Ovis aries: one gene and its partner. The protein of the gene in region 1 binds, or shares a complex with, the protein of each later gene. Links are inferred from orthologs where the notes say so. Each region holds a gene or a part of one and is shown on either strand. Other genes may lie near its edges.

Region 1 (12,450 bases):
TGAGTGACTTGCACTTTCACTTTTTTCAAGGAGATGAAAGTCCTGTACTTGGGAAACTATAAGACATTGCTGAACAAAAGTGAAGACGACACAAACAGATGGAAAGGTACACTGTGTTTATGAACTGGAAGAACTGACATTGTTCAAATGACCACACTACTTAAGGAAACCCACAGTTCAATATAGTTCCTATCAAAGTGCTAAGGACCTTTTCCACAGAACTAGAACATATAAAAATCTGTATGAAAACACAAAAGAATAGCCAAAACAATCTTGAGAAAGAACAAAACTAGAGAAATCAGGCTCCCTGACTTCGGACTATACTACAGAGTTACAATAATCAAAACCAGTATGGTACTGGCACAAAAACAAGCACAGAGATCGATGGAAGGGTATGGAGAGTCCAGAAATAAGTCTGAGGTTGTATTGTCAAATTCACCTACAACAAAGGGAAGAATATACAGGAGATGGAAAAAAAAAAAAAACAGTTTCTTAAGTAAGTGGTGCTGGGGAAACTGGACAGCTACATGAAAAGGAATGAAATTAGAACATTCTCTAGCATCTTACACAAAAACAAACTCAAAATGGTTAAAGACCTAAATATAAGACCAGAAACCATAAAAATGCTGGAAATAAAAATAGAACACTCTGACACAAATCATATCAATACATTTTTTGGATCTGTCTCCTAAATCAAAAGAAATAAAATATAAACAGATGGAACCTAATTAATCTTAAAAGCTTTTGGATGGCAAAGGAAACTATCAACAAAACAAAAGACAATCTATTAAATGGGAGAAAATATTTGCAAATTATATGACTGATAAGGGGTTACTTTCCAAACTATATAAACAGCTCATACAACTCAACATCAAAAAAAAAAAAATTTAAAAATAGTCAAATGACCTGAATTTTTTTCTAAAGATAACCTACAGATGGCCGACAGGCACACGAAAATATACTTAACATGATAAGTCCTCAGAGAAATGAAAATCAAAACCACAATGAGATATCACCTCACATTTTCAGAATGGCTATCATGAAAAAGAACACAAATAACAGAATATATATATATATATGTGGACAGGGAGGCCTGGCATGCTGCAATTCATGGGGTCGCAGAGTCGGACATGACTGAGCAACTGAACTGAACTGAAGTGAGGTATGTATATCTGAGTCACTTTGCTGTACAGAAGACATTAATGCAACATTGTAAATCAGCTATATTTCAGTAAAACTTTAAAAATAATGATAAAATAATAAAGAAAGTATTAAAAAAGAACATAATAACAAGAGAATGGCAAAAATGTGGAGAAAACAGACCCCACGTACCCTTTTGGTGGGAATGTTTCCTATGGAAAACAGTATGGAGGTTTCTCAAAACACCAGAACTACTGTATGACCCAGCAATTTCACTCCTGGATATTTACCTAAAAAACAAAACAAACAAACAAAAAATAAAGCACTTATTTTTAAAGATACATGCATCCAGTGTTCATAGCAGTATTATTCACAATTGCCAAGATATGGAAGCAACCTAAGTTTCTATCAAGAGATGAGTGCATAAAGAAGATATAGTGTATTTACTAAAAAGAAGTAGACTCACATATACAGAGGACAGAGTAGTGGTTATCAGTGGGGAGAGGATTGTGGGGAGTCACAAAATAGTTGTAGGAGAATAAGAGGTACAAACTATTATGTATAAAATAAGCTTCAAGGATATATAGTCCAGCACAGGGAATATAGGCAATATTTTATAGTAATTGTAAATGGAATATAACTTTTTAGAAATTGTAAATCCCTGTGTTGTATACCTGAAACATATATCAACTATATCCCAGTAAAAAATTTTTTTAATAATTGAGTTTTGGAAAACACTTCTAGAATATACTAGTTGCATGCCTTTTATCAAGCAGCCTTTTTATATGTTCATTACAGAAATGAGAAAATGAGAGCATTACTTCATACCAGGACAACTCAAAAAAGACTTATCTAAGCTTAATGGTCACTCCTAAGATTATACTGGAAAAATGAAAGTAATCTATATATTTTACTAACCCATAAGGCAAAAATAGTGAATATTTATAATTTTATTAGGTTGGATTTTCTTGTGCTTACTAGCATCATAATTGGAGAGTGAAGTTAACTACAATGGCTAAATAGGATATTACAAATTATTTTATTATAGTTATTTCTTTTACCATGGACTATTTAGAGAATATATGACATGATTTCCCAACCTATGTATTGTAATTCTTTAGTCTTTTGTATAGACATTGGTGAAAAATAGTGACTTAGATTTCATATATATACACACACACACACACACACACACACACACACACCCATAAATAGAAGTGCCTGTCACAATTTTGCCTATAATAAGTGTTTATATTTCTTTATTACTTAAAAGGTAAGTTAATTTCCTTTTCAGCTTTCTTTCACAGTAAGGGCTATTTGGTATTTTTTGATTATAGGGAAATAAGTACCTTGTATAGGTGCTTGTCTTTGAAGTTACAAGTTCTGCTTTTAATAAGCATCATAATTGATGTTCAGCAAGTGAAATGTTATAGTAAAATATAGAATTTTTAGAGAAGAAATAATGGGTTTAGGATTAAGACTGTTATCTTTATACCTTCCCTACCCCCATGCAAAAAGAAACTACCTGTGAAGATTTTAAATAAATATACGCATAACACCAAAAATGCTTCATTTATTGTAAATATTCATTTCTGTCTTGTCTGTCTGCAGCTTTTCCACTGTAAATGGGTTATATATTTGTTTTGAATTTTTAAAAAATAGTAAAGTAAGTTATTTTTTATTTTGTGGAGACTTTTTTTTTTGGATTTAGCATTTGGCAAGCAGGATAGGAGTTTAGTTTCATACTTTGCATCATCTTTGTATCACCTCTCAATTGATAGGTTAAGAGCAGGCCTGGCTCCCATGTGGGGAAGGTAGTAACATGTCCATGCTGTGGATGGTGGCCTCTGTTGGGGTATTGTGTGAAAAGCCCTGGACGCTCTGGAGAAGCAGTTCTGGGCCCTCTCATCCCCACATCGATGGGGGACAGGTGAACCTGTGTGATCAGGTGTCTGACCTGCGCTTCACTCAGTTGGGGTCTATCCCCTCTTCTTCCTTCTCCTGTTCCTGCTTTCCTCATTTTTCTCTGCCCACTCCTCTGCCTCCTCTTTTCTTCTTACTCATATGTTATTGGCAGTCAGTTTACTGAGAGGGTTTTCCCCTTTTCTCTACCCAAAGTCCTTTTCCTTGAAAGATTGATGGCATGCTTTGGGAGAGGAAGGTACCGTCTGGGGGTGAGAGTGACCCATACATGGGCACAGTTGCTCTTGGCCATTGTGATAAATTGTGGTGACCAAAGGTATCCCTTTCTGAAATGCCTTGAATAAAATATTTGAATTGTAATAAGTGTGATATAAGTTCTATACATGCACGTAAGACATGCCTATACATGCTTGTGTGGGTGTTACAAATATTTCTTATGATTTTACTGGGGACTCCTATAGAGATTACTCTTTAGAAGTTGCAATTAACTTTAAAACTTAGAATTTAAAATATCTTTGGGAAATGTCCTCATATAGCAGATGTTACTGGGCAAGAAGGAGAGTGGTCTATGGTGAAATTAAGTGGGTCACTCAGCCTTGGTTTCCCTCTTCACTGAGGTCTGCTGATCTTCCACGATTTCATTTGAAGATTAATTAGAGAAGGGCCTTAGGACCTCATGGTCATCTATGTAATCCACTTTGAAATCCAAGGGCAGAGAAGAAGGGACACATAGTAGAACTAATAATGTGTTTCCATGGAGCGAGCTTTTAGAAGTAACAAACGAATACATTTTGCTGAGTTTGGTGGGTCTAGTTTTTGATGTTTGGAGTATCCCTGATTTTCTGTTCAACTGTGATGTCTGTGTTGCCCCCCAGGAAGTGTGCGACATGAAGTCTGAGGGTCAGGCCACTGTCATCCAGCGGCTGGAGCAGACCATCGAGGATCTGAAGACCAAGATAGCTGAGCTGGAGAAACAATATCCCGCCCTAGACACGGGTCTGGAAGCCCTCAAGCTGGGAGAAAAGGATGTCGGATATGAAAGGATCGTACAGGCCAAGTCCATCCAGACGTCCCCGATGGAAGACGGTGGTGTGCTGGCGCGTCCTCCTGGGGGGGCCCCGCTGGTGGGCCCCCTACCCTTGACCGCACATGGAGAATCAGCGGGGCTGCCCTTGTCTTCGGGACCTCAGACCATGTTCTGCTCAGAAATCTCTTTGGTCGTGTCTCCAAGGCGAATATCAGTTCAGCTTGATGCACAGCCATCCCTCCAGCCTCCACCGCCTGCATCCCTCCCCTGGTCTGACAGTCATGGACAGGCGGGGTCCCAGCCTTCCCATCCTCTTCACACTGGGTTTGAAACCAGCCAGGAGCACTCTGCTTTCCCCTACTCTGGAAACGGCTGTGACATCCCCACTGCACCACCTCTGCCTCCAGAGACCTCCCCTCTGATGCCTGGCGTGGGCGCCGAGGCTTCCCCAGCACCCCTGACCCCCAGTGCACCTGGGCCTGCACTGCCCAGTCCAGCAGGCCTCTCACCTCCTCCTCGTCTAGGTCCAGAGATGCTGCCACCCCCTCCTCCACCTTTGCCTGGAGTGGGAATTCCCCCTGCCCCTCCCCTTCCCGGGGTGGGGATCCCTCCCGCCCCTCCCCTTCCCGGGGTGGGGATCCCTCCCGCCCCTCCCCTTCCCGGGGTGGGGATCCCTCCCGCCCCTCCCCTTCCCGGGGTGGGGATCCCTCCCGCCCCTCCCCTTCCCGGGGTGGGGATCCCTCCCGCCCCTCCCCTTCCCGGGGTGGGGATCCCTCCCGCCCCTCCCCTTCCCGGGGTGGGGATCCCTCCCGCCCCTCCCCTTCCCGGGGTGGGGATCCCTCCCGCCCCTCCCCTTCCCGGGGTGGGGATCCCTCCCGCTCCCCCTCTTCCCGCGGTGGGGATCCCTCCCGCCCCTTTTCTTCCCTCGGTGGGGATCCCTCCCGCCCCTCCTCTTCCCGGGGTGGGGATCCCTCCCGCCCCTCCTCTTCCCGGGGTGGGGATCCCTCCCGCCCCTCCCCTTCCCGGGGTGGGGATCCCTCCCGCCCCTCCCCTTCCCGGGGTGGGGATCCCTCCAGCGCCCCCTCTTCCCGGGGTGGGGATCCCTCCAGCGCCCCCTCTTCCCGGGGTGGGGATCCCTCCTGCCCCCCCTCTTCCCATGGTGGGGATCCCTCCCGCCCCTCCTCTTCCCGGGGTGGGGATCCCTCCAGCGCCCCCTCTTCCCGGGGTGGGCATCCCTCCTCCCCCTCCCCTTCCCGGGGTGGGCATCCCTCCTCCCCCTCCCCTTCCCGGGGTGGGCATCCCTCCTCCCCCTCCTCTTCCAGGCATGGGAATACCCCCCACCCCCCCTCTTCCCGGAGTGGGAATTCCTCCTCCCCCACCTCTTTCCAGTGAAGGAATACCTCCTGCCCCACCTCCTCCTCCTCCTCCTCCTGGTGTGGGGATTCCACCTCCTCTAACCCCTCCGCCCCCACCCACTGCTGGATCAGGCCTTCCTCTCCCAGGACAAGTTGGGAGTAGCACTTTACCGACACCTCAGGTGTGTGGCTTTCTTCCTCCTCCGTTGCCTCTTGGCTTGTTTGGATTTGGGATGAATCAGGAAAAAGGGAGTAGGAAGCAGCCAGTAGAGCCTTGTCGGCCAATGAAGCCTCTATATTGGACAAGAATTCAGCTGCACAGTAGAAGGTAACACCAGCGGCGTTCCTCTTTGCATAATTTGTCAACATGAGAGAAGTGGTTTCCTCTCTGTACCACTCCAAAGCTAGTCTGTAGATTTTTACATCAGTATTTAGTGGAGCAATTTTAGACTTTTCTCCAGAAGTATCCAAGTGATAAATCATGTGTATCAATGTACACATTTCTATCTATATAGTTTTTTTAATTAATTTCTTTTTTAATTGAAGGATAATTGCTTTACAGAATTTTGTTGTTTTCTGTCAAACCTCAACATGGTTAATTTTTAATCGACCTTTTAAGGATTGATGGATAGATCTTTCTTAGCTTATGTGAGCTGTTGCCTTTTTGCAAAGCCTCACTCTGACAAATAACTTATAAAAGTAAATCAAATCATTAAACAGACAAACCCTTGAGGATGTATTCTGCATCCTTTTGAAGGCATGGTCTTGTTTTACTATTCAGAAAAGTGATACACAAAAATCCACATGTGTGGATTTCACCCTGTGTGTGAAATGATTTAGGTCTGATCATTTCATGGCACTTCTATAGATGATTTGCAACACTGTGAGGTCACAAAATCACAGACTTACATGACTTTTACGAAAGACATGATATTTATAAAAGAATGCCTCCCAGCAGGTTTGCTGCTGGTGTATTACTTACCCATGGATGGTCCATAACCTGGTTCCCTGAACCCTGGGGTGGTGCCAGAGAAAACATGCCCTTTAAATTTCCCCTGGACTTTGTTATCCCGAGTTCTCATGACTTTGAATTTGTGGCTGTCTGTGATGTGGCACAGATTTAGAAATAGGATGTTTACTAGACTCATCTTCATTTCTTATATTAATTTTCTCTTATCTGAATCATAGTGGAGAATCACTGCTTCTAACTTTGCTGTTCATTCTCTGAGTACTTTTCCGAGTCACTCCTAATTGCTGAGGCATCATTTCCAGCTGTGCTCCAAACTCATTTTTTCCATATGCATTATATGAAGTTCTTTTATTTTGTTGTTTTGCTTTTTAAAATGAACCTTCATTTTCAGGTGGTACTACCTGTCTCTATGGTCACTGAGGAGTCAGATGACATGAGTGCTGGACAGTGGTAGGGAGACAGAAATGCCACTCTGTAGGCAGAAAGTGATTTATTTTTAACCCATGAAACTTATGGGTCAGGTTGGAATGTGAGATATCAGACATTTCTTGCCTGGAGATCCATACTAAAAAGGGTTCTTACATGTTTTATACAATGACTTGATGACTGAGAATTCCTGGCAATGCCTAGAAAGAATTCCTTTCTAGGCAAAGGTTCCATCCTGTGTTGATGCTGTTTCTCATCATGTTGGTTGATTAAACAAGTGCTGATCTTACAGAAAATGGGATGGGGATGGATCTCCCCCATCCCCAACCTCCCTTCATCCTCTCCTGGCCCCTCTGGTGCCTGTGTCCTCCTGTCCCTGCAGTCCAGCTTGACGCCTCTCTCATGGGTTTTTGCTTAACTTTAGAGACTCCAGTGCTTCACTTATTTGGGAAAAAATTGAAGAGCCATCCATAGATTGTCATGAATTTGAGGAATTGTTTTCTAAATCTACTGTCAAGGAAAGGAAGAAACCCATTTCTGACACCATCACAAAGACTAAGGCTAAGCAAGTGAGTATTCGTGTGTTTTCTGAAATTGGACAGTATTTTGGGTATAAGTGTGAACTTTCATTGGAGAAAAACTTTGACACCATTTTCAGGGCTGTGTCCGTTCCACTGTCTGTAAGCAGATAGTAGGGGTTAGCGTTTTAGAACATGTGGTTAAATAAGACTTTCCCAGATAGAATAGCAAGTAATCATCTCCACCAAGTGATCATGTTCTGACTATTTGATTTGTAGCCCCACGATCCATATTTCCAAGCTTTTAGCAATTGCTTGTTGTTATAATTAGTTGCCTAGAAACAAACTGGAAATCAAGCAAGAAATCCAGTCCTTAGTAACCGATCTCGTGTTTGGTATTTTGTTCCTATTCTAACAACTGAGTGCCCTGTAGAACCTAGCTAAATAATCACCTTGAACTTGACACAGAGAAGAGACTCTTGTATCCAGTTCCAGCATCTCCATTCTGTGTTAGATCCTTTGATGCATCCTGTGACACTTGAGTCCCAGAGAAAGAAAAGTGCATTTGGAAGAAAACATTTTCATACAATATTTTCCCACTGGTCCACACAGTGGCCTTGATCATGAACTAATTTTGTGTATCTCTCAAGGTAGCCATACAGGAAAGTATAGTAAAGCCCAGAACAATGAGCTCAGAAGGAAGGTGCTGCTGTTGGTGTTCATCTTTCATCCTGAAGAGGTGTGGTAGCAGCTCTGTCTTTTTGGGTGAAAGAAAGAGAATTGAGGTCTGAAGCCTCGGGACTCTCCTGGTACAGCCTCCTCAGATGAGTGAAAACTGAGGGGTGATATGGTCCTGTGAACTTTTGCTCTGACCTGGAAGTTGTAGCTAGATGTCTGACCCAGAGTTGTTTTCATCCGTATTCATTTCAGACTCACGCCACACATCTCTATTGCTCTGACGCTCAAATGTGACACAGTGAATTTTTCAGAACCATTTATTGTGACACAGCTGGTTGCTGGTGACTTTTAATCAGAAACAATGGTAAACCTGCACCTTGTGGGCACTGAATAAACATTTGTTCTGCAAATAAACCAGGCAACTGTAGGAGGAGGACTTTATACATACCCATGACTATTCCTGATAATGATTAAAGCCAGAAAATCACTTATCTCACAATAATCAATTTGGTCAAGGTGGCTCTGTCATGGAATAAAGGTAAATGGGGAACCACATTTTTTTCTGGCAGAGATAAATAGTCTAAAAATCTTTCCCACAGCATCTTTGTATATAGGACGCATAGACTGAGTCATCATGTCTCTTCTCGTCGATGGTACTGGTGATGGAAAAGCTGTTTAGGTGAGGAATATGGGCAGGGCAGCATATGCCATGGAGGGCTGGGCATCAGGGCCTTCACCGATCAAGCGGACAGGAATGACATGGGGCATCTGTTTTATGGGATGAAATTTTTGCCCTCCCTGCCTCCTATTACTTCCTTTCCTTTGTTAAGTGAACATAGACAAGGAAGCTGTCTCATAATGCCTGGAAGTGTAGGATTTTATGATTGCTTTGAGATTATGTCCAAATCATGAAGACAGCAACCTCAGCTAGTTGGCATGAGATGCCTCCTTTCATGCGAGCTGCACGTCTGAGTGGAGCATCAGCTCAGCACAGTTGCCTCACCCTGTCGCGAGCCTGTTCCGTAAACCATGGGGACAGGCCTTTGCCGGGGTTGTCATTTGTGCCCATTGGTGGTGGTGCAGCTGTTGACCTTCAGCTTCAAGACAGTTTGTGGACCCGTCTCCATCCTGACTCCCAGTGGCCTGTCAGCATTTTCTTGGTCAGGGTCTAGTTCTCAGCCCTGCTTTTCAGATTTGTTTTTGGAAGGAAAAGTGTTTGTTTGTTTGTTTGTTTGTTTTTCTCATGTGTTGGTGAAAGACCAATCTACTACAAACAGTTATATGGCTGAAGAAAGTGAGTTTTATTTAACTGTGTTGTGTTTGGAAGAAAAATCTATCCATTCCATCTACTTTAAAATTTCCGTCTAATTTAAAATTTTGCTTAAGGAAAACATATTTTCCAGATACAGGCAATATGGGGTCAAGAGTGCCAGCCCTCTGAGCAGCTGAAAATCTCCATTTAAATTAAGAGTCAGTCCCTTGTACTTGGGGTCCCTCTGTATGGTTCCATGTCCATGGATGCAACCACCCTAAGCTCGTGCAGCACTGCAATATTTACTATTGAAAAAAAATCAGGGTGTACGTAGACATGCACAGTTCAAACTGTTAACAAGTGGTTCCCCTTATCATATGCAGACATTCATTTCCAGCGAAATTAATAGCCATTAATGCTGTGACCTGGTTTTATGAAGATGTTTCAAGCTATTCTTCTCATATATGATGGAAGCTAAGAATTCCGGTTTTCTTTAAATAGTTCAAAATAGCTAAAATATTTTTGTGATCTGTTGTCTCCTTGAAACTAAGAGTGTGGCTGAATGTTCTGGCCTTTAACAACTCTCAGAAAACACGTCTTCGTTGTGGTAATGGAGGTTCCTCAGCTGGACACCTTGCTGTGTGGCATGATGAGAAAGAAGATACTCTGTGGGTGCCGAGTGGCAACAGTGAGGAGTGTCTGGTATTTCTCAATCCTTTCTCCACCAAGTAACTCAAGACAGAGCCTTTCACCTTTTCTCATGGCACTTGTGCTTAAGTTCTGCGCTGATGTCTTAGCTCACCCATCTTCACTGTGGCTATGAAAACATAAGGAGATTTGCTGAGAAGGTACAGGGGGTTTATCAGACTGTTGTTTCACCTAGTTCTCCTTCAACAAATGACTGTGATGCTGCCAGGTCAGAATTAAACATCAACCTGCTGATTTGGCACAATAGCAGTCCCATTTCCCAAAGAATCATGAGGAAGATGGAAAAACCAGTGTCGCCTGAGGCCCCTGTTTGACACATTGCGCATACACGCAAACCTGTCCATTTTTAAGGTTCTTAAGAAACCCTCTACAGCAAATACATGTGATCCTAGAGCGAGCACAAGTGACCCATGTTTTGCCACTGACAGGCGAGCTCACTGACTGTTAATGTTGAGTGATCCTAAGTGCTCCTAAGCCACTTCAAGATCTTCATGTCCAATTAAAGATTAAGTTTAACTGAGCTTATGAGCAGGAAAGTGAGAGGATGTACACTGGGATAATTTTGACAGTAAGAATTCCCTCAAAAAGAAGTTTCTAGTTAATCCAATGTCAGATGAGTTCCTCGGATGACATATTTTGGGAAACAGTAGCAGCAGCAGCTTCAGCAGTAGTAATAGTAACAGTGGAAACATGACAGCTGGGGAGCCTGCAGGCGTGTGGGCTCGGCTTACCCTCTGCTGCCACTGTCTCTGCAGCCTGACATCAGCCTCGCCCATCCTTGTGCATGGGCTCCGTGGTTGTGGTGTATAGGCTTAGCAGCTCCGTGGCATGTGTGATCTTCCCAGACCAGGGAGTGAACCTGGATTGGCAGGCAAATTCTTATCCACTGGATCACCAGGGAAGTCCCTGTGCCTTACTTTTACTAATTGCAAATCTTTATCTTTAGTATTTAAAATATGTTTTATCATATTTCTATGGATATCAGTGTCAGTGGATATTTCAGTGTTCACAGGCTGATGGCCTGCATGATACTCTGACAGGCCTAGTTGTTTGTATTGGTGTTAAGTTTTCTTATTGTAGCATGGGAAGGCTATGTTTTGGTTGGATGGTTCTGTTTGTCTCTTAGACCTAAAATAATATCTGAAATACCAATTATAATAAGACAATTTAGATCTGTTTGGAAGAATACATCATAAAAATTTAGTACCCTCAAGAGTCTTCTCCAACACCACAGTTCAAATGCATCAATTCTTCAGCGCTCAGCCTTCTTCACAGTCCAACTCTCACATCCATACATGACCACAGGAAAAACCATAGCCTTGACTAGATGGACCTTAGTTGGCAAAGTAATGTCTCTGCTTTTGAATATACTGTCTAGGTTGGTCATAACTTTTCTTCCAAGGAGTAAGCGTCTTTTAATTTCATGGCTGCAGTCACCATCTGCAGTGATTTTGGAGCCCCCCAAAATAAAGTCTGACCCTGTTTCCACTGTTTCCCCATCTATTTCCCATGAAGTGATGGGACCAGATGCCATGATCTTTGTTTTCTGAATGTTGAGCTTTAAGCCAACTTTTTCACTCTCCTTTTCACTTTCATCAAGAGGCTTTTTAGCTCCTCTTCACTGTCTGCCATCAGGGTGGTGTCATCTGCATATCTGAAGTTACTGATATTTCTCCCGGCAATCTTGATTCCAGCTTGTGTTTCTTCCAGTCCAGCGTTTCTCATGATGTACTCTGCATATAAGTTAAATAAACAGGGTGACAATATACAGCCTCGATGTACTCCTTTTCCTATTTGGAACCAGTCTGTTGTTCCATGTCCAGTTCTAACTGTTGCTTCCTGACCTGCATACAGATTTCTCAAGAGGCAGGTTAGGTGGTCTGGTATTCCCATCTCTTGAAGAATTTTCCACAGTTTCTTGTGATCCACACAGTCAAAGGCTTTGGCATAGTCAATAAAGCAGAAATAGATGTTTTTCTGGAACTCTCTTGCTTTTTCCATGATCCAGCGGATGTTGGCAATTTGATCTCTGGTTCCTCTACCTTTTCGAAAACCAGCTTGAACATCAGGGAGTTCACGGTTCACGTATTGCTGAAGCCTGGCTTGGAGAATTTTGAGCATTACTTTACTAGCATGTGAGATAAATGCAATTGTGTGATAGTTTGAGCATTCTTTTGCATTGCCTTTCTTTGGAATTGGAATGAAAACTGACGTTTTCCAGTCCTGTGGCCACTGCTGAGTTTTCCAAACTTGCTGGCATATTGAGTGCAGCACTTTCACAGCGTCATCTTTCAGGATTTGAAACAGCTCAACTGGAATTCCATCACCTCCACTAGCTTTGTTCGTAGTGATGCTTTCTAAGGCCCACTTGACTTTACATTCCAAGATGTCTGGCTCTAGATTAGTGATCACATCATATCATGATTATCTGGGTTGTGAGGTAATATATTCCT
Region 2 (12,450 bases), on another chromosome or scaffold:
GGAGGGCAGGGATTTTTGTTTGTGTCACTGCTGTATCACTGGCTTTGTGATATTTGGTAAATAAATCTGTATAGTGTCTTTCCCATCTGTAAAAATAAAGATATACAGGATTGTGTGTAGTTTATAGACATCGTACTGTAAACCTCATACTCCCCAGTGAGTGTATGATGAGGCTGAAGAGATCATTTCACAAACCGTATATATGGTGGCCCCTATAGAGAGAGGTCCTTGACTGAGAGAGGCTGTCTCCCCCTCTGCCTCGCCAGTGTGACTGGGAAGCTGAGGGGCTCCTGGTGCTGGGAGGCTAGTACCCGCCCCTCACCCCCTCAGCCACCCACCCCCCCCGACTGCTGTGCCTACGCGGCCTTCTGTGCTCGGGCTTCAAAGTGGACATGGGCCCAGACAACTTTTGCACTTTATTTTCAATTTAAACATTTGATTGTGACCTAATACTGGAATCTTTTATAGCATTTTTTTTTTCTATTGTAAAACTAATTTCTAGTTTTCAGACTGCATTGAAAGGACAGTTTGGAACATAGCTCATTTAAAAGCTTGGAGTTACATTTTAGAATGATATTTCTGTGGTTATATAGGAAAAACATCAGTAAAAGAGGCAAGATTAAAATATCATCATATCCCAACCAGTCCTGAAAGTGTATTTATCATGCATCTAAGCTTTTAAAAATGCAATCTCTGTTCTTTATCAATACAAATTTGCTTTATGAAGATAAGTTAAATGTAAACAGACAATGGAAAATGCTTATTTTGATAATCTAATATCACTGTTGCATTAAACCCCTCTGTGTAGCAAAGGTAACTTAACCCTTAAAAACATGTGTTCCCTACTTCTGCGTCTTGACATAGATGAGTGCGAGTGTTGAGCTGCTGGCTGTGTCTTGATTGGAACTAGAAGGAGCTGGAAGTTGGTTCCTATCAGTTGTCCTTGCCCTGACTCTTCTCAGATTGTCCCATTTTGTTTGTTTTTTCAGTTTAGCACAGAAGCTTTTTGCTTCTGTAAGCCATTCACAAAAGTTATGAGGTGTGAGCCACTAAGAATGCGTTCCCTTTACGTAAGAGCAACTTCAGTAGCCCCTGGGGCTGAGAGAGACATTTCATGTATTGTGGAAATTTTTGTGCCTCTTCTATCCTATCCGTGTGTGAAGGAAAGTCGTAGGAGTATGCCTGCCTCCTCTACTGAAACCCCAGAGGGCCAGGCGGCCTTCAGGCCTCCTCCTCAGTCCCCAAGCCCTGTGATGTGTAGTCACAGGTGTTCTGCCTTTTGTACTTGCCTGTCTGGCTTTAGCTTTGTTGCCTTTGACTTTGTGACTAGAGCTGCATAGGTGGTTAAACTCACTGGCTTTGAGGCCAACCTGGCTTTGAGTTCTAACTCTGGCTTACTGAATCTCAGTTTCTTCATCTTTTGAGTTGTGGGGCTGATGGTATATGCTATACTTCTGAAGGGTACTGTAATGAGAATTCCGTAAGAAGTGCATGCAAATGTGTAGGGCAGGCCCATGCCTGTGTAGGTAAGCTCCCTAGATATTAGCTGTACGATGGAAATCTGCCATAAGCTATGTTTCTGTTATTTGTTCAACAAGGCTGTGACCAGAGCAGGTGTGTCCCAGCCACAGTGAGTCCAGCGACAGGGGTGGTTGTGCCATGGAACTTGTCAGTTAATTAGAAGCAAGCTTTTGACCTAATCTCAAGTGGGAAAAAATGTAAATTGAAGCAGGGATATGGTTTTAAATTAAAAGTCTAATAAAGAATTCTGGAATTAAAAAAAGATTTAGGCATATCTGTAGTTTTCCACAGTTTTGAATAAAAGTGCTTCCACAAACTGACAGAGTTGCCTGTCAGGACAATTAGTAGGTCAGCACTAGACAAATAAGAAAGGGAGTAGAGAGAACAAGGTCTATGAAGTAGACTGGAGCAGGTCCATGGAGCTTAAAAAAAGCAAAGTGGGACAAGGAGAGCAATTGTTCGCTGGAAAGTGAAGGTAGTAGTTTTCCAGCACAGAAGCCATAACCTCCGGTGGCAGTCACAATTTAACAACTGGTTTTGAAAGAAAGTATTCGGTTTAGGAATAAAAACCTCTTCTATTAAATATACAATAATCATATTCATATTAAATATTTTTGTAGCCTGTTTTAGTAGTGTGTGAAAGTGTGCTATTAACTTAGGTAGTACATTTATTTACACTGCAGTAAGATTTACTATAGTGAACATATTGAGTACATTGATATATTTACCTGGAAAAATCTTAATGCAAAAATTTTTTAATCTTTTTTCTCTATTAAAATTAGGCAATCTTAGAAACAGCTAAATAGTCATCAGCTGATAAATGGATGACTAAAATGAGGTCCCTCCACAAAGTGTAATATTGTTTGGCAATAAAAAGAAATGAAGTAGTGATACATGGATGGAGCTTGCAGTGAGACATGCTGAGTAACAGAAAAGTGAAGTTGCTCAGTCATGTCCGACTCTCTGTGACCCCACGGACTGTAGCCCACCAGGCTTCTCCATCCATGGGATTTTCCAGGCAAGAATACTGGAGTGGGTTGCCATTTCCTTCTCCAGGGGATCTTCTCAACCCAGGGATTGAACCTGGGTCTCCCGGATGGTAGGCAGATGCTTTACTGTCTAAGCCACCAGGGAAGTTGAGTAACAGACTTGTTGTATGACTTCATCTGTATGAATTGTTCAGAGCAAGTACCTTAGTAGAAACAGAAAGTAGTCTGATAATTGTCTACCAGCAGGAAGAGGATGGGGTTGGGGGAAAATGGTGAGTGACTGCTATTGGGTGTGGGGTTTCCCTAGGGTGAAGAAAACATTCTAGAATTGATTGTGGTCATGATTGCATAACTCTTAGGATATGGAAAACCACTGAGTTGTGTACTTTAAATGGGTGAATTGTATGGTATGTGATTATATCTTAAGAAAGCTGTTAACTTTTTAAAAAATTAAGCAATTTTAGAGAGTCCCTGACTTAAAAAAGCAAAGGCATTGAATAGATTATTCACACTGAACTATATCCTCCCTAATACCTAACCCAGGGGGCACCAACTCCAGTGCATGCTGGTCACTTAAGAAGCGGTTCCAGTGTGGAGCCCAGACCCACCCTGCAGGTTCCAATCCATGGTCTGCAGGCCTGGGAAGGGCTGAGACACTCACTTTCAACAGGTGCCTGAGGAATCTGCTGTTCTGTGTGTTAGAAATTGAGAGCCACTCAGGGAGAGTTCTCTTAGAATATTTTCCTATGTCTGTTGATCCAGTCTTTATTTTTATTCAGTTGCTTTGGCTGCCTTATCTGTACTAAAATACATATATTTAGCAATTTATTTAGAGTTTGAAATTATATCAGAACCACTCTAGCATTGCCTTATTATAGACCAGGTAGCTGAAGCCAGGTAAGTTGAGTTTTTTCTTGAGTCTCAAAGCTGCTAAGTGGGAGAATTGGAATCCAGGTTTTGGTCTGCTTAAGTCCAACCCAGTACTTTTTTTTTCTCAGTTATGTCGGGTCTTCACTGCTGCATGGAGGCTTTCTCTAGTTGTGGCGAGTGGGGGCTACTTACTAGTTGTGATGTGTGGTCTCTTCATTGGGGTGACTTCTTTCGTAGAATACAGGCTCTAGAGCATGGGCTCAATAGTTGTGGCACCCAGGCTTAGTTATCCTACAGTGTATGGAATTCCTGGATTAGGGATCGAACCCATGTCCCCTGCATTGGCAGCCAGATTTTTCACCACTGAATAGTCAGGAAAGTCCCAATCCAGTACTCTTTTCATTTGTGTTTCAGAATCTTGTCTTGTATCTAATAATAATCCCTTAACCGGGCTGAGACCACCACAGGTTTAGATCCTTTCTACCTGCTGTTTAGTGGCTCTTCCTCTTTATTGGCTCTGAGAGTTTGAACAGATTGCTTCACTTCTCTGTGCTTCAATTTCTTAATCAGAAGGAAGCAGGGTAAGAATAATGCCTACTTGATAGAATTGCTATGATGATTTAGTGATTCAGTACGTGTGGAGTGCTTGGCAGAGTCATTGACATGATTCTTGCTAAGTAAATGTTAGCTCTCATTTCTGATCATAGACTCAGACTCTCTCAGGGTCTAGATTTAGGAATATCTTTAAAAGGACAGTGAAATGAAATATGCATTTTCCTCAACATATCTGTGTTATAATTTTTCTGATGGGCCTTAGTAGGTAAAACCCAGAGCAGTGATTGTCGAATTTATGCAGAGGATGGAGCTACCACGCCTGTTACAGAACACATGATAAACTGTTTTAAAAATTGGAAATAATTTTGCTAGCAGAGAATGACTTTATTCTGTCTGTACAACATAAATTCACTTTAAGCATACATAGTCATGAGAAGGCTGTGGAATAAGCCTAATCAGTTCCTTGTAAATAGATGTTAAATTTGCATATTGTTAATTTGTTTGATCATCTGCCAGTAAGTATATTAGATGGCTTTGAGAGAATTGTCCTCATTAATGCACGTACTTCTGTGATTTGGAAAAAGCTGTTAATCCTGGATATTGGGGGTGCTTCGTGCCAGCCTGTGGGATGGCATGGTAACCTAGGGTCTTGGGAACCATTGTTTTATGGGCATAAGAGTGAGGGTAGACATGGGTCAAGCCAGATTATTTCTGGGAGTAACAGTTTGCTCTGTAGGGCTTAATGTTTTAAGACTATGATGGCAAAAAACTTGAGTTGTGAAAAATGATTTTTGTGGTTTTTGTAATTCAAAATTTATAAAAGTTTTATACGGTCTTACAAAAACATTCACGTAATAGAGAAAGAGCGACTGTTTGCCAAGCTCTCCTGGCCTCATTTACAGAGGTAACTTAACAGTTTGTCTGTTCTTCTAGAAAAATGTATAGTACCTGTATACACAGGCATATGTTTATTCTGCATATATTTATTGTGTATATCAGTGTTCTTATGCAGCTGCCTTTTGAACCATGATACATGCTGGGCATCTTGTTACATGTTGGTACACGTAGAGCTGCCCCATTGTGCACCTCATTGGTGGCACACTAAGTTTCAAAAGCTACAGTATGCTAGGCACTGTTCTAAGCTCTTTGCATGTATTATTACCTCACTTAATCTTCACAAGAACCTTATGAAGTAGGTACGGCTACTATCCCCATTTTGTACATGAGCTGACAGGCACAGAGGTACATGAGGCAGTTTTTCCAATAACACATGAGTAATGGAGCCAGGATGTGAACCCAGGCAAGTAACTTCATAGACTGCCTTTTTAACCAAAGCATGACATTTCCCCTGTGAATAGACATCACATTATTTTCTGTTTTTCATTGTAACTTATTTTTCTATAAATGGGTTATTAAATTTTCTAAACTTACTCTTATTTTTATATGTGTAGAAGGGATAACTAGCTTTTAACAAAGGAGAGAATTATCTGATTGTTTCTGTTTCACTCTGACATCTCAGTTATTGCCATCTGTGAAAGCCTTCTGTCTGGTGGGATCCTAGTTGACCCTTTCTCTTCCTCTCAAAGTTTTACTCTATCAGTTTCTCTAACTTTTGCTTATCTAATGAAAAATCAGGCTTATTCTTTGAAAGGTGAAATGTTCTAGTACTCCTATGTCACATACAAGCTTGCACATAGATATATGTGCATGTTTTTCATTTGGCTTGTTGATCATATTACAAGTCTCATATTGCAAGATCACACAGTCTTCGTTGTAATTTTTTTGTTTGTTTTTTTTAAATAAGTTTCTGAGGGAAATGTTTTAAAATTTCCTGCTGTGATAAGGGCTTATCATTTTTAATTAGTAATTATGACAGTTTTAGGTAAAACATTTGTGGTTTTATTTTAGAGCTGTATTGTTTGGTACATGCAAGTTCAGTTCACAATATTTTTGAGATGTTCCTTTCTGCCCTTTTAAATACTGCTTTTGCTGAATTCTCATTTTTGGATATTAACATTATTAGTGTGGTTTTCTTCTCATTTGTATTTTTCTGGAATGTACCTTTCCATCCTTTTAATCTTTCACCTGTTTTGCCTATCACATGTTTTACCTGTTTCCATTTATTGTGATTTCTGATGTATTTGCACTCATTTCCTTCATCTTATTTTGTGTTATCTGTTTGTCATGTCAGTCACACTGTCCTGCAGAGAAACATTCACCTGAAATAGTGAAGCTGCTGCCTCTTATTAGGAGCTGCATTCTCCAGTGTGCTCAGACCTCACCTGGCCATTCACTTTATCTCTGTGATCCCAGTAATAAGTTCCATGAGTGTGGGGTCCAGACTCTACCTATTTTCTTCACCACTGCACTCCGCACCAGATATGGGACCTGGTACAGAGGTGCTCCGTGAACATTTACTGAATGAATCGATGAATGTTCAGTTCAGTCGCATCTGAGATTTAAAAAAAAAAAACACAGATGAGACTTTTTAAGCTCCTCAAATTTAATGTGTCACATTTCTGAAATGGAATAGATTAGACGTAGCTTAAATATCATACTAAATGTTTTATGCCTTACAGTTCTATAAAGCTGTTCAGTTGTCTCTATTAACCGCCTTCCTTAATGTTCCTAGGTTATAGAATCTTTGGGAATTATTATTTATAAGGCACTGGACTATGGCTTGAAGGAGAATGAAGAAAGGGAGTTAAGCCCCCCACTGGAGCAGCTCATTGATCGCATGGCCAACACAGTAGAGACTGACGGCAGCAATGACGAGGGCTACGAGGCTGCAGATGAGGGTCTGGAGGAGGATGACGACGAAAAGAGGAAAGTTTCAGCCATCCGGTCCTATAGAGATGTCATGAAGGTAAAGTTTACAGCAGTATCTCTTTCTTTCAAGAGTTGTTATTTCACTTCAAAAAATTGATTAGCATTTGATAATAGTTCCTAGACTTTCAGCTTTCAGTGAAATACATTGTTGTTGTTATTTACTCACTAAGTTGTCTTCAGCTCTTTGCAACCCCATGGACTGCAACATGCCAGGCTTCCTTGTCCTTCACCATGTCCCAGAGTTTGCTCAGTTTCATGTCCATAATGAAATGCATAAGAGTATTCTAATTTCATTCTTTTACATGTAGCTGTCTAGTTTTCCTCCTACCATTTATTGAAGAGGCTGTTTTTTCTCCATTGTGTATTCTTGCCCCCTTTGTCATAGATTAGTTGACCATAGGTGTGTGAGTTTGCCTCTGGACTTCTTTCCTGTTCCATTGATGTGTGTCTGTTTTTGTGCCAGTATCCTACTGTTTCGATTACTGTAGTTTTGTAGTACAGTCAAAGCTCTGAAGTCAAGGAGCCTAATTCCTCTAGCTCTGTCTTTGTTGCTTTTCTTTTTTTCTCCCCACAAAATTGCTGTAGCTATTTGGGACCTTTTGTGTTTCCATACAGATCTTAAAATGTTTTGTTCTAGTTCTGAAAAGGTGAACCAAAGTCATGTCCAACTCTTTGCGAGCCCATGGAATTCTCCAGGCCATAATACTGGAGTGGGTAGCCTTTCTCTTCTTCAGGGGATCTTCCCAACCCAGGGATCGAACCCAGGTCTCCCACATTGCAGGCAGATTCTTTACCAACTGAACTACCAGGAAAATTCTGAAAAAGGCTATTGGTAATTTCATGGGGATTACATTGAATCTATAGATTAGAACAGTCTCTAATACCATACATAGAAACAAACTCAAACTGGATTAAAGACCTAAATGTAAGTCTGGGTACTATAAAACTTTTAAAGGAAAGCTTAGGCAGAACACTCTCTGCCTAAGATATTACATAAATCACAATAATATCTTTTTGCTTCACCTCCTAGAGTAATGAAAATAAAAACAAAAATGAACTGTGGGTATATTTGAGATAATCAGGAAAATTTTACCTTTTACTCTATAGTTGATGATATTAGGAATTATATTTTTAGATATTATAATAGAATTGTGAGTATATTTTTAAAAAACTCATTTAATGAATATATGGTGAAAATATCTACATGTGAAATTCAGATGTCTGGAATTTGTTATAAAATTATCCTTGAGGGGTGAGGCTTAAGTGGATGAAGATGTAGATAAAGTAAGATTGGCCATGAATTGATCATTGCTAAATTGGGTGATGGATGGTAATTCATTATACTGTCCACCTCATTTTATGTATGTTCAAAATTTTTCCACACAGTAATACTACTATTAGAAGTTTTTCAAAGAGGTCAGTTTTTTAAGCTCAGATATAATTGACATATAACATTATATTAGTTTCAACTGTACAAGGTAATGATTCCTTGTTTGTATAAATTGCAAAATGATCACCACAATAAGTTAACATCCATCACTACACATGGTTACAGATTTTTTTTCTTGTGATGAGAACTTTTAAGCTCTATCTTTCAGCAACTTTCAAATATTCGGTACAGTATTGTTAACCTTAGTCGCCATGCTGTACATTACATTCCTAGGACTGACTGAGTTTATAACTGGAAGTTTGTACCTTTTGACTGCCTTCACCCATTCTACTCTGTACCCCCAAAGCCCCAACCACTGGCATCACCAATCTGTTCTCTGTACAAGGAGATGATTTTTAAAATGAAATGTTACGTAGATACAAGGAGATGTGTATCACAGCATTAATTACACTGTTTTGAAACTGTAAATAAATGACTTCCAGAAAAATGGTATATCAGCTACATAGATTATCATATGGTCTTTAAAATTATAATCATGTAGGTTAAGTAGCAGTGTGGGAAATTTTTAATAAATGGAGAAAAGACCACAAAATTCTGCATGTACTGACTGGTGTGTGTATAAAGGAAAGACTGTGTATGCAGACATAGAGAACAAACTTGTGGACACAAGTCTGTAGAATTTCCACTCCTCCACAAGCGTCACTTGTTTGGTAACTGTAGAGGTCATTTGGGGCATGCTGCCTGTATGCTTTGTTCTAAGTGTTTCAGCACTTGAAGAAAATTGCTTCTTTTAGTGTGAGAACATTACTTCCTTTAGTGTAACTCATCCTGCAGTTAGACTGCCTGGGTTTACTTCCAATTCTGCTGGCTAGGTGTGTGGCTTGGGTAAATTCTTAGCTATTGTAAATTTCTATTTCTTAATCTCTAAATTGAATTGACATAAGAATTAGATGTGATGATGCATATACACACAAAGAATAAAATAATTATCAGGTAATTCATTGAAACTGAAATAATCACCGGAGTTATTTTTCCTCTAAGGGATTATTTCTCATCTGTCTCAGTGGAAACTTCATGAAATTTCATGGGCTTAAAAAAAATTTTTTTTTGTACATTAAAAAATTGTGGTAAAATACACATAACAAAGTTTACAGTTCACAATTTAGTGCCATTAAGTAATTCACGATACTATCCAGCTGTCAGCGCTATCTCAGTCCAAAGCCTATTCTTTATCCCAGATGGAAACCTATCCCTTCTCCAGCCCATGGCAGCCACTGATCAGCTTTCTGTCACTGTGGATTTATGTATTCTGGTATTTCATATAAATGGAATCATATGGTATATGACTTTTGGTGTCTAGCTTCTTAGACTGAGTGTAATGTTTTTAAGGTTCCATGTTGTAGCATGTGTCAGTACCTTTTTCCTTTTTATGGCTTAATAAGATTCCATTTTGTGAATATACCACAGTTTGTTTATCCACTCCTCAGCTAAGAATATTTGAATTATTTTCACCTTTTTTTTGGCTGCTGTGAATGGTGCTGGTATGAACATTTGTGTTTCAGTTTTTGTTTGAATACCTACTTAAAATTCTTTTGGAAATACACCTCAGGAATGGAATTGCTGGATCACATGGTAATTCTATCTTTAACTTTTTGAGAAACCATCAAGCTATTTTTCGCAGTGGCTTCACCATTTTCATTTCTACTAGCAATACACAAGGGTTCCAATTTCTCCACATTCTTGCTAACACTTACTTTCCATTTTCTCTTTGCTTTTATAGCCATCCTAGTGGTTGTGAGTGGTATCTAATTGTGGTTTTGATTTGCATTTTCTTAATGACTTGTGATGGTGAGAATCTTTTTATTTGCTTTTTGGCCATTTGTCTACTTTCTTTGGAAGAATGTCTGTTCAGGTCCGTTTTTAAATTAGGTTGTTTGTCTTTTGTTGAGTTTAAGAGTTCTTTACGCATTCCGAATAGTAGATCATTATTAGATATATGATTTGCAAATATTTTCTCTGCTTCTGTGGATTGTCTTCTCATGCGCTTGATAGAATCTTTTGATGTACATTTTTTTTTAAATTAGAGGATAATTGTTTTCACAAAGTAGTATTCGTTTCTGCTCTACAACAACGTGAATCAGCCAGAAGTATACATATATCCAGGTTAGGCATTGCTCTGCTGACAAAGGTCTGTATAGTCTTCCCAGTGGTCACACATGGTTGTGAAAGCTGGACCGTAAAGAAGGCAGAACACCAAAGAATTGATGCCTTCGAACTGTGGTGCTGGAGAAGACTTTTGAAAGTCTCTTGGACAGCAAGGAGATCAAACCAGTGAATATTAAGGGAGATAAACCCTGAATATTCACTGGAGGGACTGATGCTAAAGCTGAAGTTCCAGTATTTTGGTCCCTGATGTGAACAGACGACTCATTGGAAAAGTCCCTGATGCTGGGAAAGAGTGAGGGCAGAAGGAGAAGAGGCATCAGAGGATGAGATGGCTGGACGGCATCACTGATGCAGTGAACATGAACTTGGGCAAATTCTGGGAGATGGTGAGGGACAGGGAAGCCTGGCGTGCTGCAGTCCATGGGGTTGCAAAAAGTTGGACCTGACTGGGCAACTGAACAACATACATATATTCCCCTCCTTCTTGAACCTTCCCACCTCTTCCCACCCCTCTAGGTTGTCACAGAGCACTGAATTGAGTCCCTGTGGTACATAACAACTTCCCAATAGCTGTTTTACATAGGATACTATAAATGTTTCAGTGCTATTCTCTCAATCCATCCCACCCTCTCCTTCCCCCACTGTGTCTACAAGTCTGTTCTCTATGTCTGTGTCTCTATTGCTGCCCTGCAAATATGTTCATCTGTAACGTTTTTCTAGATTCCACACACACAGATACAGATATATGTCATTATACAATGCTTGTTTGTCTGACTTACTCCACTCTGTACAGTCTCTAGGTTAATACACCTCAGTTAAACTGCCTCAGATTCATTCCTTTTTATGGCCAGGTAATATTCCATTGTATGCATGCACCACAACTTCTTTATCCATTCATCTGTAGATGGACATTTAGGTCGCTTCCATGTCCTGGCTATTGTATATAGAGCTGCAGGGAACATTGGGATACATGTGTCTTGATTTTCTCAGGGTATGTGCCCAGTAGTGGGATTGATGGGTCATATGGTAGTTTTATTCCTAGCTTTTTAAGGAATCTCCATACTGTTCTCTATGGTGGCTGTACCAATTTACATTCCCACCAACAGTGCAAGAGGGTTCCCTTTTCTCTCCAGCATTTATTGTTTCTAGATTTTTTGATGATGGCCTTTTTGACTAGTGTACAATTTTAACTTTGAAGTCTAATTTATCCATTTATAGCCATACCTTAGGGGAATTGCAAGTTTAGCTCCAGACTACTGCAACAAAGCAAAGGTTGCAGTAAAGTGAGTTACATGAATATTTTGGTGTTTCCCATTGCATATAAAAGTTACATTTATACTATACTATAGTCTATTATAAAGTGTATAATAGCATTATATCTAAAAAACAATACATACTTTAAAATATAAAACAAAAAACCAGTTACAATAGTAACAGCAAAGATCACTGATCACATTACCACAACAAATACTAATAAAATAATAAAAGTTAATAATAATAAAATAAAGTAAATAATAAAATAATGATAAGAAAAAGTTTGAAATATTGTAAGAATTATCAAAATGTGCCACAGAGACAAGAAGTGAACAAATGCTGCTGGAATAATAGCACTGATAAACTTGCCTAATGCACAGGGTCACTACAAACCTTCAATTTGTTAAAAACACACTATCTGCAGTGCATAATATAGTGCTATAGTAAAGTAAGATATGCTGTATCTAGTGCTTTTGGTATCATATCTTAAAAACTGCTACAAAGTTCATGACCATGAAGGTTCACCACTATGAAGGTTCACTTCACCTTCGAAGAGTTTTATAGTTTTGACTCTTAAATGTAGATCACTGATCCATTTTGAGTTAATATTTATGTATGCTGTGACATAGGGGTACAATTTTTTTCCCCCATGTGGATATCCACTTTTCCAAGCATCATTTGTTGAAGAGACTATTCTTTCGCTCCGTAATGGTCTGGGCACTTTCATCAAAAATCAGTCAAGCATAGATATATGGGTTTATTTCTAGACTCTCAGTTGTGTGTCATCAATCTGTATATTTGTTGTTATGCAAGTACCACTTTGTTTTCATTACTGCAACTTTGAGGTAAGTTTTTTTTTATTATAGCAATAGTGAA

The links.
Region 2: the proteins of FMN2 (region 1) and SPIRE1 are in contact, whole or in part, in a crystal structure (PDB 2YLE), measured with the Homo sapiens proteins. The link is inferred for Ovis aries from reciprocal best matches to the Homo sapiens genes FMN2 and SPIRE1. Residues at the interface, in NP_064450.3 of Homo sapiens: Ser1702, Leu1703, Lys1705, Ile1706, Lys1707, Pro1708, Arg1709, His1710, Gly1713, Ile1714, Lys1715, Lys1717, Ile1718, Lys1721, Thr1722; in NP_001122098.1 of Homo sapiens: Gln51, Pro52, Ile53, Asn54, Glu127, Ile131, Tyr134, Lys135, Asp138, Leu141, Lys142, Glu143, Asn144, Glu145, Glu146, Arg147, Glu148, Glu154, Ile157, Asp158, Ala161, Asn162, Thr163, Val164, Glu165.

The regions. Positions count from the first base shown.
Region 1 is NC_056078.1:2,620,271-2,632,720, reverse strand, and holds part of FMN2 (formin-2), read left to right. Parts: intron 1-3,938; coding exon 3,939-5,773; intron 5,774-7,265; coding exon 7,266-7,410; intron 7,411-12,450. UniProt on the Homo sapiens protein: Actin-binding protein that is involved in actin cytoskeleton assembly and reorganization. Acts as an actin nucleation factor and promotes assembly of actin filaments together with SPIRE1 and SPIRE2.
Region 2 is NC_056076.1:43,472,090-43,484,539, reverse strand, and holds part of SPIRE1 (protein spire homolog 1), read left to right. Parts: intron 1-6,567; coding exon 6,568-6,801; intron 6,802-12,450.